Saccharomyces cerevisiae S288C: one gene and its partners. The main gene of each other region encodes a partner of the protein of the gene in region 2 in a complex. Each region holds a gene or a part of one and is shown on either strand. Other genes may lie near its edges. A codon is read from its position in the direction of its gene.

What was found. The genes of interacting proteins can lie anywhere in the genome.
Region 1: the proteins of SPT7 (region 2) and SPT3 are in contact, whole or in part, in a cryo-EM structure (PDB 6T9K), measured with the Saccharomyces cerevisiae proteins. Residues at the interface, in NP_009637.1 of Saccharomyces cerevisiae: Ile912 (codon at 1,766), Ile915 (codon at 1,757), Arg916 (codon at 1,754), Cys919 (codon at 1,745), His920 (codon at 1,742), Ile922 (codon at 1,736), Gly995 (codon at 1,517), Glu997 (codon at 1,511), Ile1010 (codon at 1,472), Tyr1014 (codon at 1,460), Asn1017 (codon at 1,451), Lys1020 (codon at 1,442), Thr1021 (codon at 1,439), Leu1045 (codon at 1,367), Glu1046 (codon at 1,364), Asn1047 (codon at 1,361), Gly1048 (codon at 1,358), Asn1050 (codon at 1,352), Lys1066 (codon at 1,304), Lys1069 (codon at 1,295), Leu1070 (codon at 1,292), Ile1073 (codon at 1,283), Lys1076 (codon at 1,274), Leu1077 (codon at 1,271), Phe1080 (codon at 1,262); in NP_010680.1 of Saccharomyces cerevisiae: Leu145 (codon at 1,082), Gln146 (codon at 1,079), Met148 (codon at 1,073), Phe149 (codon at 1,070), Asn150 (codon at 1,067), Glu151 (codon at 1,064), His152 (codon at 1,061), Pro153 (codon at 1,058), Leu154 (codon at 1,055), Asp316 (codon at 569), Met317 (codon at 566), Arg318 (codon at 563), Ala321 (codon at 554), Leu322 (codon at 551), Asn324 (codon at 545), Phe325 (codon at 542).
Region 3: the proteins of SPT7 (region 2) and TAF6 are in contact, whole or in part, in a cryo-EM structure (PDB 6T9I), measured with the Saccharomyces cerevisiae proteins. Residues at the interface, in NP_009637.1 of Saccharomyces cerevisiae: Arg168 (codon at 3,998), Gly171 (codon at 3,989), Asn172 (codon at 3,986), Leu175 (codon at 3,977), Lys176 (codon at 3,974), Arg178 (codon at 3,968), Tyr179 (codon at 3,965), Trp182 (codon at 3,956), Gln183 (codon at 3,953), Ala185 (codon at 3,947), Ile186 (codon at 3,944), Asp728 (codon at 2,318), Asp731 (codon at 2,309), Ile734 (codon at 2,300), Lys751 (codon at 2,249), Arg752 (codon at 2,246), Thr753 (codon at 2,243), Glu754 (codon at 2,240), Leu849 (codon at 1,955), Glu851 (codon at 1,949), Tyr852 (codon at 1,946), Ile854 (codon at 1,940), Ser855 (codon at 1,937), Asn856 (codon at 1,934), Ala857 (codon at 1,931), Ile858 (codon at 1,928), Pro859 (codon at 1,925), Asp860 (codon at 1,922), Ile861 (codon at 1,919), Val862 (codon at 1,916); in NP_011403.1 of Saccharomyces cerevisiae: Asp67 (codon at 1,853), Arg74 (codon at 1,832), Tyr82 (codon at 1,808), Gly83 (codon at 1,805), Tyr84 (codon at 1,802), Tyr85 (codon at 1,799), Asp86 (codon at 1,796), Gly87 (codon at 1,793), Ser88 (codon at 1,790), Glu89 (codon at 1,787), Glu112 (codon at 1,718), Glu113 (codon at 1,715), Glu114 (codon at 1,712), Val115 (codon at 1,709), Asp116 (codon at 1,706), Phe117 (codon at 1,703), Asp118 (codon at 1,700), Leu120 (codon at 1,694), Ile121 (codon at 1,691), Asn122 (codon at 1,688), Glu123 (codon at 1,685), Pro124 (codon at 1,682), Leu125 (codon at 1,679), Pro126 (codon at 1,676), Gln127 (codon at 1,673), Val128 (codon at 1,670), Pro129 (codon at 1,667), Arg130 (codon at 1,664), Leu131 (codon at 1,661), Thr133 (codon at 1,655).

Annotation. Positions count from the first base shown.
Region 1 is NC_001136.10:1,257,028-1,260,209, reverse strand, and holds SPT3 (transcriptional regulator SPT3), read right to left. Parts: upstream 1,515-3,182; coding exon 501-1,514; downstream 1-500. Other genes in the region: SHE9 (She9p), read right to left, coding at 1-309; IAT4 (Iat4p), read left to right, coding at 2,154-2,852. UniProt on the Saccharomyces cerevisiae protein: Component of the transcription coactivator SAGA complex. SAGA acts as a general cofactor required for essentially all RNA polymerase II transcription. At the promoters, SAGA is required for transcription pre-initiation complex (PIC) recruitment.
Region 2 is NC_001134.8:400,753-406,779, forward strand, and holds SPT7 (SAGA histone acetyltransferase complex subunit SPT7), read right to left. Parts: upstream 4,500-6,027; coding exon 501-4,499; downstream 1-500. Other genes in the region: AAA family ATPase SEC18, read right to left, coding at 1-138; E2 ubiquitin-conjugating protein UBC4, read right to left, coding at 5,876-6,027. UniProt on the Saccharomyces cerevisiae protein: Component of the transcription coactivator SAGA complex. SAGA acts as a general cofactor required for essentially all RNA polymerase II transcription. At the promoters, SAGA is required for transcription pre-initiation complex (PIC) recruitment.
Region 3 is NC_001139.9:297,678-301,454, forward strand, and holds TAF6 (TATA-binding protein-associated factor TAF6), read right to left. Parts: upstream 2,052-3,777; coding exon 501-2,051; downstream 1-500. Other genes in the region: SLD3 (Sld3p), read left to right, coding at 1-261; ribosome biosynthesis protein NSA1, read left to right, coding at 2,301-3,692.

The DNA of each region.
Region 1 (3,182 bases), on a different chromosome or scaffold from region 2:
TTGAATTGATTTTTTGGCCTTGTTAACTTGAAAGGATAATTGATCTCGGTGGAAGTTAAACCTAGAATACAATTCATTTAATTTCTTTTTCAAGTGCTGCCATTGAAGTTCTATATTTTCTTTCCAAACAGCGTTATTAGGTGTCCGTATTTCATTTTTATTAGTGCTGCCTTTATCAGGAGTATCACCGTTCTGTAGAGAATATGAACTATAATGAAATGGCCTGGTGAAAGATGACGCCCTCAACATTAATTTGTTAATGCTGAATACTAAGGGTAAGTTTCTTGTCGCCCCATAGTATCTCAACATCACGCAATTTTTTAATCACTGAGTTCACCCGTTACAATTTCACAACGAAAAAGACCCCAATGATCAGATAGTCCTCTTTATAACGCGTATCTACGTACATAATCTTTATTTGTATTTTTCAATTCATTTGGCTCACATTTATCATACCAGAAGGAAACCCATGCACCTCCATGATGAAATTATACAAAAATTTACATGATAATTGGTTTAGAACTGAGTCTACCACCTTTAAAGTTGGTCAAAGCCCTATGCCTCATGTCAATTGTTTGTAGTACTCTCCAGGCTTCCTCTATATGCCTTGGTTTGAGCGGGTTTATAACATTTTCAGGTCCATCAAATAATCTTTTCTTTCTATGTAATGTGGATGATGCAAATTCAAAGTTAGTATTATCTTGGCTAGATTGCTGGGATTTGTCCTTTTGAGTCTGTAATACCTGTTCTCTTTGTTTGATTTTCAGAGCTGTTTCCGTCAAAGAACAGACAATCTCAAAAGTTAGAAACCCCAGTATATCAATCACATCATCATGGGGTTTCCCCTCAGTTAATTGCGAAATTCCAGACCAGTCCTTGAACCTTTTATTCTTCCTAAATGTAAAACTTGCCTGTCGACAATCGGACCAATGCACGTACTCCTCTTTAGTCATGTTTCGTGTTCTATCGTCAGCCATTTTCAGCCTTTTCAAAGTGACTATATTAGCTTCTCGTTCATCCTCATCCATATCATCATTGTCGTCATTATTTTCTAAAGGATGTTCATTGAACATAAACTGCAATTCCCATGGCAGCTTAATTTGGGATTTCTTGACCTTCATCATGTTTCCACCATCTTTTTCGTCTTTCTCGCCACCACCTGCTTTTTTCAAATCATCTTCACCACCTGCCCCAGGATTTCCAGTGCCACTCGCTACACCGGCACTAGCATCTTGGTCCTTGGCGTTTTTACGCAAATCCTTCCATGACAGATATGTTCTCAAACGATTGACTTTGGCCTTGTCGTGTCTGATCAAGAAAATGACGTCTTCAGGGAGAATGCTCCTACTTCCCCTAAGATGCGCCGTTTTGTTTGACTGTAAAAGAATTTCTATCACTTGACCCCTCACTATATCTTCTATCAGTGATGTGGTTTCTACGGGTGGGTCGTTAATTTCACCAGAGACAAACATCATCTGTTGAATCTCCACACGATACTTATGCTTGTCCATCATTCCTGCCCTAATCTCTTGAATTTTGGCACGGTACCTTGTATGCACTCTTCCCCGGGTTCAGAGTGTCTTCAACCTTACTTTTTACTTTTCGTTTCCGCCGATCTATATTACATGGTTCGGATTTTCTTCTTTTCTGTGCGCTGCGCTTGAAGCCTCAAGAAAGGGCAGCTTTGAACAAGACGTTCTTGCGATAGAGATGAATGAGAATGCATTGAACGCAATGTATACCTATTTTGGCGGCATAAAAAACTTGTTTTCGAGATTGCAGTTGAATCTGAATGTAGCGAGGAGACGAACAAAAAATTGGAGTTCCTACTGTATTGCAAAGAAACTAAGAGACGCCCGCTAATGCTGCCGGAAATGTACGGTGATCTCTTAAAGTTGATTGACCGATAACGCAAAAATAATGCAGCAAACTGTAGATAACTCTTTTTTATCGTAATATTTCTATTAGTATCCAGATATTTCACTCCAAATCACAGCAGACGTTGGTGTGAACGGCATCAGAGTCCCAGGGGCTGAGATAAGTGAAAAAAATGAAATGCCGCCGGCGTATATATAACAGTTATTGTACCTGATATTATGCCAAGTCACTCACTAATCTCGAGAAAATAATTCTAAGACATGTAACCGAACATCATGTCCTTCGAGAACAAACTGCCAACTCCATTAGAAAACAACGATGCTAAGGGCCATATGGTCTGTACCCTGAACAAGACTACGGATGCCAGAAGAGCAGCAGAGACTTTGTCTATTGCTTTTAGTAACTCGCCAGCGTTTCATTTTATCTGCAAGAAAATCTTAAATATTCCTCTAGCTGAGAAGGTGCCTACAAGGACAATAACCACCGATATCATATCGCCATTCCTGGATTCACCTTATGGTGAGATCTCCGAAGTTAATACTTTCGATGCTGTTGCAGTGTGGAGTCTTCCACCTCACGTTCCGAAGGCAAGGAGTAATGATGCAAAGTTCAACAAGGACTTTATTGACGATTTAAATGCTCGCGTAAAGCAAGTCATTCCAAATGGCATCAATTACTACTATCTTTTCTGTATTGGTAAGAACTTAAATGAGAAAGGAATCAGAGGTTCTGTAAGGACTATTTTTGAAGAGTACAAAAGGAGAGCAGACGAAGAAAATTGCGCCATTGTCCTTGAAGCTATTGCCGAGCATGCTAAATCTGTGTACGAATATTTTGGATTTAGAAATTACATGACGTTCAAATACGGTGAGTGTGAGGTCGACTCTAACGGCAATTGCGATCCGAATGGTGAAGGGTTCACAGCCTATTTAATGATATATCATAAGGACGGTAATAAAGTCTTAAAAGAGTAGTTTTTGAGCTTTTTCTTTCCCCCCTTCAAGTAATTATTTAGAATAAAAAGTAGTGTTTAAAGACGACATTTTGGAGCATGCACTGTATAACCAGGTTCAAAAAAATTTCGCCTGCTATTGTTTTCTTTATTTTGAAGATGTGAGAAAAGTCTCATATCTAGTGAGCTTCAGTCTGTTTTTAGATGTAGTTAGCAATTACTATTTTAGGTATTTCTTTGCGCGGTTACGGTCTCAAGAATTTATATTACCACAAAACCTATGTAAGCTAGATCTTCTTAGCGAAAGTGGTTCAGTGGTTAGAATTCATGCTTCCCAAGCATGGGGCCCGGG
Region 2 (6,027 bases):
AGCAGCTACGTTTGCGAGTGCATAGGAGTTATTTGGACAGTTTGACACCTTTAAATGGCGTGTACGGGTATCCATGTTTGTCATATCTGGTGGAGTATGATTTGCAGCAGCTTTTCCAAAACCAGGTATCTTGAACATACTCAATTTATAAAGGCTGAATATACGGTACTATTTGCTCTTATCTTTGAGAGAAACAACGGTAGTACTTAAAGGCTACGAATAAGCCAATTTCATGAATCTCGAAATTTGGTACGCCTAACGTATAGTGTGATACCGAATTAACCCATGGGAAATACCTTTTTTTAGTGACGCTACGCTTGTGTAAAGAGAAAAAAATACTAGGTGACATTTTAGAGAGGGTACTGCAGAAGTATAAAGCGTACTCTGAGTATTAAAGTGCATTGAATTGGAATCCTACATCAACTACAAGTAAATAGTACAACCTTTATAAGCAAATGTATTTAATTAAAGATAAAATATTCAACTATTTAGCGCGCTCATTATTGATTAAGGCGAGGAAGGCTCAAGCTAAATGAACTATTGCTGCCCATATTGGTATCATCAAAAGCATCATCCATATCCAAAGGATCTAAAGGTTGAGGCGTTCGCAAAAATAAGGAAGAATCTCCATCATTTTCTGCACCCACTTTGGCGTTTACAGTTGTTGTTGGATCCGCTTTTACGTCGTTTTCCAAGTCTTCTTCTGGAAGTATAAACGCGCTTGCGATCGGTTTCTTTTTGTATGTGGTACTTATCTTACCAGTAGGAGGTAATCTTGCCTTCGTTGCGGTTTTCTTTGAGACAAACTGATCCTCTTCTAGTAAAGCGAAAGAATTGTCTTCTGTGGAAGTCATTGAGGTTTTATCATTTGCAGATGACTTGCTTTGCTTTGCTATATAGGCCTTGGAACGTTCATAATCTTTTTGTAATAGGGGAAGTAGAGTATTCCAGAATGAACCAGCATCCAGCATACCTTTTGTAATTTTCTTATACACAATGCTGTCTGATTCTTCCGGTTGGATCTTTTTGGCCTGCACTTTGGTTTCCCCGTCAACAGTTTGAAACTGAGTAGTCAGTAACTGTAATGGAACAGATGAACTCAAAACTCCAAACTCCTTTTCTAATCCAAGCTCTCTAAAACCAAAGAAGTCTTCACCAGTCAATTCGCTGGCAAAGTCACCTGTAAAAAAGCTTTGGCTCTCGTCTTCAAAGTTTCTCTCGGACAACTCCTGCAAAGTTGGCCTTAATAAGGCTCTCAAAAAGCTTTCTAGTTTCTGTTTGATGTCCTGAAGTTTCTTAGTTTTTTTACCAAATTCAGATTCAACATAGGAAAATAGATCGTCTGGCCTGTTGATACCGTTTTCCAACAGTGTTGTTTGCAGCATTTCCACATTTGTTCCTCTATTTAAGGAGTTAGTTTCATGATGAAGCTTCAAAGTCTTTATCAGATTAGATAGGTAATCCCCGGCGATTTCAGTAAGCATGTTTATTGCTGATGGATGGGCAGTTTCAAACCCATTGGCCATAGCAACCTTAGATATGTTCTTATGCATGAATTTCCATATCAGCTCCCTGTTGTTTTTGTAATCATGCGTTGGAAGCTGTGACACCGGATCAATATCGAGTGAGTCATCAATAATAGTGTAATTATAAATGTGGTTGTTAAGGAAAGCGTTGGGATTGCTTCTGGAGTTTTGAGCCGATAAAGGGCTCTGTAACATTCTGATCAGGGATATTTTATGGCATATGTGCCTAATTTGCTGAATCAGTGTGATATTTTGGTTCATTTTAGGTGTTAGTCCTAAATCCTTGTTAGCCAGAAATCTGCTTTGTTTGTTGATACCATTTTGAAGCATGCGGTCCACGGAAGCGTCTTCCATCTTGTCTAATGTTTTAGTATTTACTCCCTCGTATACTATGTCAGGAATGGCGTTACTAATATCATATTCCTGTAGGAATCTGGTATCATCTAACTCAATATCATTGGGTTGCTTTTCAAAAGCTTCATTTCCATTTAAAGAGTGATCATTATGAAACTGCAATTGGTCATCGTCTTCCTGTTTTAGTACTGTTCCAAAGCCATTTTTCATAATGGAATTTTGCTCTATTTTTTGACGATATGATTCTAAAGCTTTCTGCTCTTTATATTCAAGAAAAAGCTGGTCGAACCTTTTCATTCTTTGTGGGTTTTTCAAAAACGCCTCTGAATCACTATTTAATTTTCCATTTTTAAAATATTCAGTTCTTTTTAAGCAAATTTCCGCACGAACTTTGGCAGTTACAGTTTTCCACACGGATATTTCCAAATCGTCTCTATCGTCATCCTTTTCAAGTAAATAAGATTGGGAGTCGACCATGTCTTCGTCTTCATCTTCGTCATCATCATCCTCTTCCTCTTCATTATTTTCCCCAGCCTCCTTATTTTCTGCAGTTTTATCTTGTAGTCCGTCTTCCGTATCCTTTTTGGCAGCATCAGCATCTTTTGATGAATCCTCAGTCTTACTACTTTCCTCAACCATATCTTGCTCTTCATTTTTCCCATTTTCTTTTATTTCGTTCTTATTTACATTTTCGTGTACCGTTACAGTAGATGAAGCAGTTTTATCTTTCTCTTTTTCCCCCTCAGGGATGACAGAAGTTAGTTTGTCATCATTGGTTGGTGCTTCATCCTTGACGGTTTTAGAGCTATCTTTTTCTGACACCTTGCCATTCTCTTTGGCCAACATATGAGCTCCCATATTCAATCCTTTTCTTCCAGAACCAGCAACTTCCTCTTCCTCATCTAATTCGTAGTCTTTGTCTTTTTCCATATCTTCAATTTCCTTTTCTAAATCAGCCCTGTTTCGGATTGTGATATTTGGAATCATGCGAATCAACTGAAGAGATTTCTTCTGCATAGCAATAGCATGCCCTCTCAAAAAATGTGAAGGATCTGAATTATAGGTCAAACAATTTTTCCATATTAGCATAATATCGTCTACAAATTCTTGTTTGGAGTCATATTGAAAGCTTTTCAGTTTTTTTAAAACAGTATTCAGGTCCATGGACTTTTTGATGATTTGATGATAATTGGGGGCTTCTCTTTTGCTCACTTTATTCAGAAATGGTGTAGAATGCTCAGTGTAGTTTCTAAGTTCCAAAACAACCTTTTCACAGGCTTCGTATAATTCCTCTTGCCCAATTCTTTCATCCGATGTCCATTTTGACCGATTTTTTCTGACATCCATAATCAGATGTTTTAATTCGTAATCTGATATTCCTAATTGGGATTTTTTTTGCTGGATAGATGATAGAAGGTGCTTTAATGATAAATTTTCGATGCCTAGATTGACTGTTAAATCTAAATTACTTTGTTTGGGGCGCTTGTTCCCAGTATCGCTGAATGTTGAACCTTCAGGAGTGGGCAATTTTTGATTAGTATCTGGCTCATCATTTGTATTTTCGCGATCTTGTTCATCGGTAGCTGCTTCTAAATCACTTCGACTTCGTTTCTTCTTTCCTTTCTCTATCATTTTATCGCTTTCTTCAAGTTTTAATCGCTTTATCATAGTTTCTTTATCGTATTCAAAACTGTGGTAAATTTTGTTCCAATTTCCCATAATTTCTTCTACATTATTTGTTTTTAACTTTGACAGTGTTTCTTTTGATATTGAGATATTTAGCACCAAGCGTCGTTCATCGTCAATTTCGATATTAGAAGAGGAAATAGAATCGAGATTTTTTGGAGGATCATCGACATTTTTTACGTCTGTACTGTCTTCATCATAGTTCTCGTCTTCATCGTCGTAATCTTCATCCTCGGCGAACTTCGAAATACCTTCTTTGTTTTGTGGCTTCTCATTTTTACCAATTTCCTCTTCCTCCTTCTCTTCAACATCTAATAGGGTGTATTCTGTATCATTTTCATCACCAAACTCATTACGATCACAGTATATATAATCTATGGCGCACTGCCACAAGACGTATCTGATTTTCAAGGATAAGTTTCCAATAAACCTTGTTCCGCTTATTTGCTGCTTCAAGTCCTCTAGATCTAATTTGAATAAGTCTTCTTCAACATTATCACTTTCGTCATTATTCACAAAATTATCTTCATTTGCTATTGCGTTATCGCCTTTATCTTCAATTTCATTTTCAACATGATTTTCATTGCTGATACTGGTGTTGGTATTAGTATTGTTATTGTCCTTAATTGTTTGTGATGATACATCATCTGATCGTGTGTCAACGGCAGGAGAGACCGCTCCGTGATGTTCTTCTTCTTGGGTTAATGGAAATGATTTTTCGACATTTAATGCTATGTTTCCCTTTAAGAAATAGTCCCATGCTTTCAGTTTGTCTTCTTCACTTGAAATCGACAGCAGGTATTCAAGAACGACCAATTGCTGAGAGGTTAAATAGAGATCAAAAAAGTTCTTGTTAAAAAGTTTTTCAGTCAATTTAAGTAAAGCTTTGGCATTTGTTCTTTGATAATTCTTTATTGGTATTCTTTCAGTCATTATTCAGACTTAATTTCTTTGTAGTGTTACAGTTTAAAGAGTAACCAACAATTTTCACTGATCCGAAGTTCAATCTGAAAAAAGGAAAGATCTTATTGTTTGACTTGCTAAATAAATAAAAGATGTATTTTGCCAACTTCTCCAATGATCTTTTTTCCTTTGTACATCTAACATAATTGAAGACTTACGAGTGTACATTCACTTTTCATTACTTGGATCTGAAATATTAGAAAGTTACCCGTACCATCAAGAATATAATCGCAGCCCTAATAATTATTCACTGGAGTTAGTCCCAACAAGCATTCCTGTAGAGATTTATTTCAGTTAAAGCTGGCCAGCATTTGACCAATTTTCCTATATGTACAATAAAAGAGCATAAGGTTTCAGTGGGGTATTTTACCTTTAAAAAAATTTCGTCTTTATTCTAAAAAGCCAATTGAAATATGCTAACTTTCATTTAATATATCCTTGCATTGGTATTTATACAGATATATTACAGATATAAGTCTTTAATACAAGCCGACACCAAAAACAAATGAATTGTCATACAAGAATAATACTGGAAGCACATCCATCTTTAGAGGAAACATGTTTTCGTTATTTCATAAAACCTTCAACAAATAGTAGCTCGCGTGGCGTAATGGCAACGCGTCTGACTTCTAATCAGAAGATTATGGGTTCGACCCCCATCGTGAGTGCTTTGTTTCTTCCGTGATAGTTTAATGGTCAGAATGGGCGCTTGTCGCGTGCCAGATCGGGGTTCAATTCCCCGTCGCGGAGATTTTTTTGGCTACTCCTGCAGTTATTCTTCTGCCTCCTTAGTACAGTGTAATGCTCCTCAGAATTTTTGCCAAACAGAGAACCAGTCATTGATCGTTGATTACATATACTAGCTATGCGTTGAACTTCAAAAATTTAAATAGGCTTCACCCCAGAAATGATGTTAATGACAATAGTAATTAACCTACAGATAGACTAGAAATGAAAAAGGTACGGTTAACGTTGACGCTCCCTCGACAAGTTAGGTCAAATATGAACCACAACTGAAATATATGCGGGATATACCCGCGCTTGCGTGCATGTAACTAAGCAAAAATTCTCCATACTGTTCGAGGAAAAAAATGTTCATGAATCTCCCCTGAATAAATTAAATTAAGGTTTACGATTCGAGTTGTTTGGAAAAAAAAAAAAAGGTTCCCCTGTACTGTTGCCAACAATAGTCTTATATCTTATATCAGTAAATCTATGTTATTAGAGATAGAATATACATATATTTTATTGTATTCTTTCTTAAATACATTGTATCTAATATTCTTTTCATCGTCCAATCCCATATAAATCTTGCTTCTCTTTTTCAGCTGAGTAAGGACTTCTGTTTATACAGCGTATTTCTTTGTCCATTCTCTGGCTGTAGCTTCGTACTTGGGTCTGTCAGTCTTGTAGATATGAGCGATTTCTGGTACTAAAGGATCGTCAGGATTAGCGTCTGTTAACAAAGAACAGATGGATAATAGGACCTTCGATAGAG
Region 3 (3,777 bases), on a different chromosome or scaffold from region 2:
ATACGCCTACATGAACGTGTAGACTCTGAGGAAAACGTACAAGTTCAAGCCACTCCTGCTGTGAAAAAAAGAACTGTGACACCTAATAAAAAGGCGCAACTTCAAAGCATCATTGAATCGCCGCTAAATTTCAAGGATGATGATACGCATGAAGGCAGAAAAAATACCTCCAATATTACCTCTACTCCCACTAATAAGCCCCCGGAAAATAGCTCAAAAAGGAGAGTAAGAAGACGTTTATTTGCTCCAGAATCCACATAGAATAAGAAACTGCGAGACCACCTTCGCTGGCAAGTAGTTGACCCAACTCCATCTTTGTAGCTTTTCTTGGACGAAAAGGGAATAAAATAAAACTAAGCTACAACAATTTCGCACTTCGGGGGCCTTTGAGTATACAATTAAATAACTCATCATGCATATATATATATATACATACAATGGCGTATGTAAAAACTGTTATATAACATTACCGTTGTACTATTAGTATAAACCGATTCTCACTATTCGCCAAAAAATATCGCACTAATTAATTCTTTTGCGTCGTCTCTTTTCAAAATGTGAAATCCAATAGTGACACCACACCTCTCTAGCAATTTTTCCTTATCCTCATCCGTAACTTTTTCACCTTTACCCTCGTACAAATCTGGTAAATCCTTTTTTAGAACTAACAATGCACTAATTACAGTATCAACCAAGATTTGAGTTTCTTCTTTAGTAAATTTGGTCCTAGTTGGATTGGAGTCATCGTTCAAATGTTCCTCTATATTGTCTAGAGTTATTCCGCTTTCATTGAATACCAAGCGCGCCCAATTATTTAGGTTTCCTAAGAAGAATCTGATGGATTCACCTTCTAGTACCGATACACCCTTTAAGCACCCATAGTAAGTCCCAAAAACACGGTTTATGTCCAAAAATGTCTTTAGCAGTGTCCTAGTTACTCTTGGCTTCAGGGATTTGTATGCTTGAGGAAATTTTTTCAATACATAGTCCAACAAAGATGCGGCAAAATCACGTAGTGCATTCGTTCTTTCTAAAAATTCATGAATTTCTTGCGGCGAATCATCTTTTGGTGATCCACCAAGTTTTTTTGCTAATAGCAAGGTTAAAATGGAAGGCATTAACGAATGAATATAAGGGTCCAGGAAAATAGAAGTATTGCTTAGTAAAGAGTAAATCATTTCCAAAATTGTTGTTAGCAATTGTAAATCGGAAAGATTTTGTGTGATTTGTTCGGCAATAAATTGAATAAAATATGGAACCAGTTGGTGCAGGCCACTATCAGTTCGTAGTGAAGTCAAAGCTGCTTGTTTCATATGCTGTGCAGCTTCATCAGCTTGACTCTTCGCTGTCAAGGTTGAAATGACCTTATTGAAATAAATCTGTAATTCTTTGGATAAAACGTGTTTCACTAAAGGTTTGACTTCAGTATTCTGTCCTGGTTTAACATTAGACAGGTGTTGAGAGGCGCCTGTATCCGTCACAGAAGCACTTGCTGTCGTCGACGTTACAGGTGTTTGGAGGCTGTTATCATTCAAAGCAGTGACAATAGCACCTCTAATAAATGGTGGTTGGGATACCCTTATATCATTCAAATTTGGATTTTGGATTATGGCAGGTTGAACCCCTTCAACTGCTAGCCAATGTGTAGTAAAAGTTGGTAGACGAGGCACTTGCGGTAATGGCTCATTTATTAATCTATCAAAATCTACTTCTTCCTCATCCAGGTAGTAAACCGACTGTCCTCCACTTGTGTTAACCTTACTAAATGATACAGCTTTATTAACTTCAGAGCCATCATAATATCCATATAAAGGTTCCACATTCAGAACACGCAGGGCCTTCGATACATCGTCTGTAGTTAAAACATCTCTTTTAGAGTGTCTTTTAAACTTGACTGCCTGTTCAATAATCTCTAGAATACGGTATTCAACGTCCATAGCAAGTGCTTTCAACACGTCATCGTTGATATTTTCCAACCCAAGCGACTCAGCGACATCTTTAACAGTATCTTGTGGAGACCAAATTGTGTAAGATTGCTGCTGTGTAGACATTTTAACAGGCTATCAACTACACTGAGGCGTCCTTTGCTTCCTTTTTAAAGCCAATCTATTGTTTTCGCTCATGAACTACTTTTGCTGCTACTTGAATCGGTGTTTGTTATTGATGGTTTCCGGGTATTTTTTTGGTAATAAAATAAAGCTGAAAAATTTTGTAAAGCGATGCCCAATCTCGAAGCCTCACTTCAATGAACATAATACAGAGAAAATTTAACCATAAATAGGCCCAGCTTCGATCGTAAAATGAGGTTACTAGTCAGCTGTGTGGATAGTGGATCCATAAAGGAAGTTTTGTGTAACATCGGGACTGACACTTCCGTACAATCAGCACTGCAGCCTTTTCATGTGGCACCTCATCTAGCCGAAGGATTGAAAGCTTACGTTGACAGGATGTGGGTGATATCCGAAGATGAAGCCATCTTAGCAAGGAATTCAGGGGTCGTCGAACTTGTAAAGATTTCGAAACACCTTAAAGAAAATGAAGCTCTCCAGGTCGATCCCAAAGGAGAAAGCAAAAATGAAAAGAGCCTTTCCGATGATCTACCCAAATTTGACATATCCGAGTTTGAGATAACCAGCTCAGTTTCAGACCTTTTTGATGATGCCAAATTGGAATCACTTTCAAGTAAATCTGTTAAAAGAACCAAGTTGGTGGATGGTTTTGTCACATTATGTCCCATAAAAAAGGATTCGTCGAATAACACATTCGTAGCTGCTACCAAATCGGGATTATTACATATTATAAAAAAAGGAGAAGATAAAAAGTTAATAAAACTAGCATCCCTTGGACTGAAAGCACCAGTAGAATTTCTTCAGTTATATGATCTAGAAGATACCGATACTGATAAATATATATTTGCATACGGAGGGGAGGAGAATTTAATAAAATTAGTGGAAATAGATTCGAGTTTCCAATCTTTAAAGCAAATTTGGGAAGCCAAGAATGTTAAAAACGACAGGTTGGATATGAGAGTCCCAGTATGGCCCATGGCCCTAAGATTTTTGGAGCCCTCCCCTGGTAAAACTGAAAAGGGTAAGCTGAACTACCAGTTTGCAGCCATAACCCGTTGGTCCCACCTCACCAAATACAGCACACAACATGGCAGAAAACCGTTCGCTCAGATAGATTTATTACCTAACCGTGAACCATTATCTCAGATGGAAGTTTTTGATGCCAAGGGAGAAAATGTTGTCTCTTCGTTGGGGAATTTTCAATCTGAAACCTTTAATGAACTGAATGTGATTACTACTGACTACAAAAAGAATGTTTTTAAATTCGATGGTAATGGAAGAATGTTGGGCAAGGTGGGTAGAGATGATATCACTGGTTCGTCAACCTATATTCATGTACATGACGGCAAATATCTTTTACAAGGTGGTTTAGATAGGTATGTTCGGATCTTCGATATAAAAACTAACAAAATGCTGGTGAAGGTTTATGTTGGGTCCCGTATAAATTTTATTGTTATGCTGGATGACGTTGAAATCGAGATGCCACTAAGTCCAAGTGCGAAAGCTGCCAAAGGGAAGCAAAAAAGGAAGGTTACAGAACTTGAAGAAGACGCAGATGAGCTTTGGAATAAATTGGAGGGAAAGGTAGCTGCTTCTAAAGCCAGTAAGAAAAGCAAAATTTAATAGTAAAGGACGCTAATTGAAGGCAAAGTTTTACTAGTCGGCGGGAAAAATTATTAAAAAAAGCACTTCCTGAACGCGACGCTGA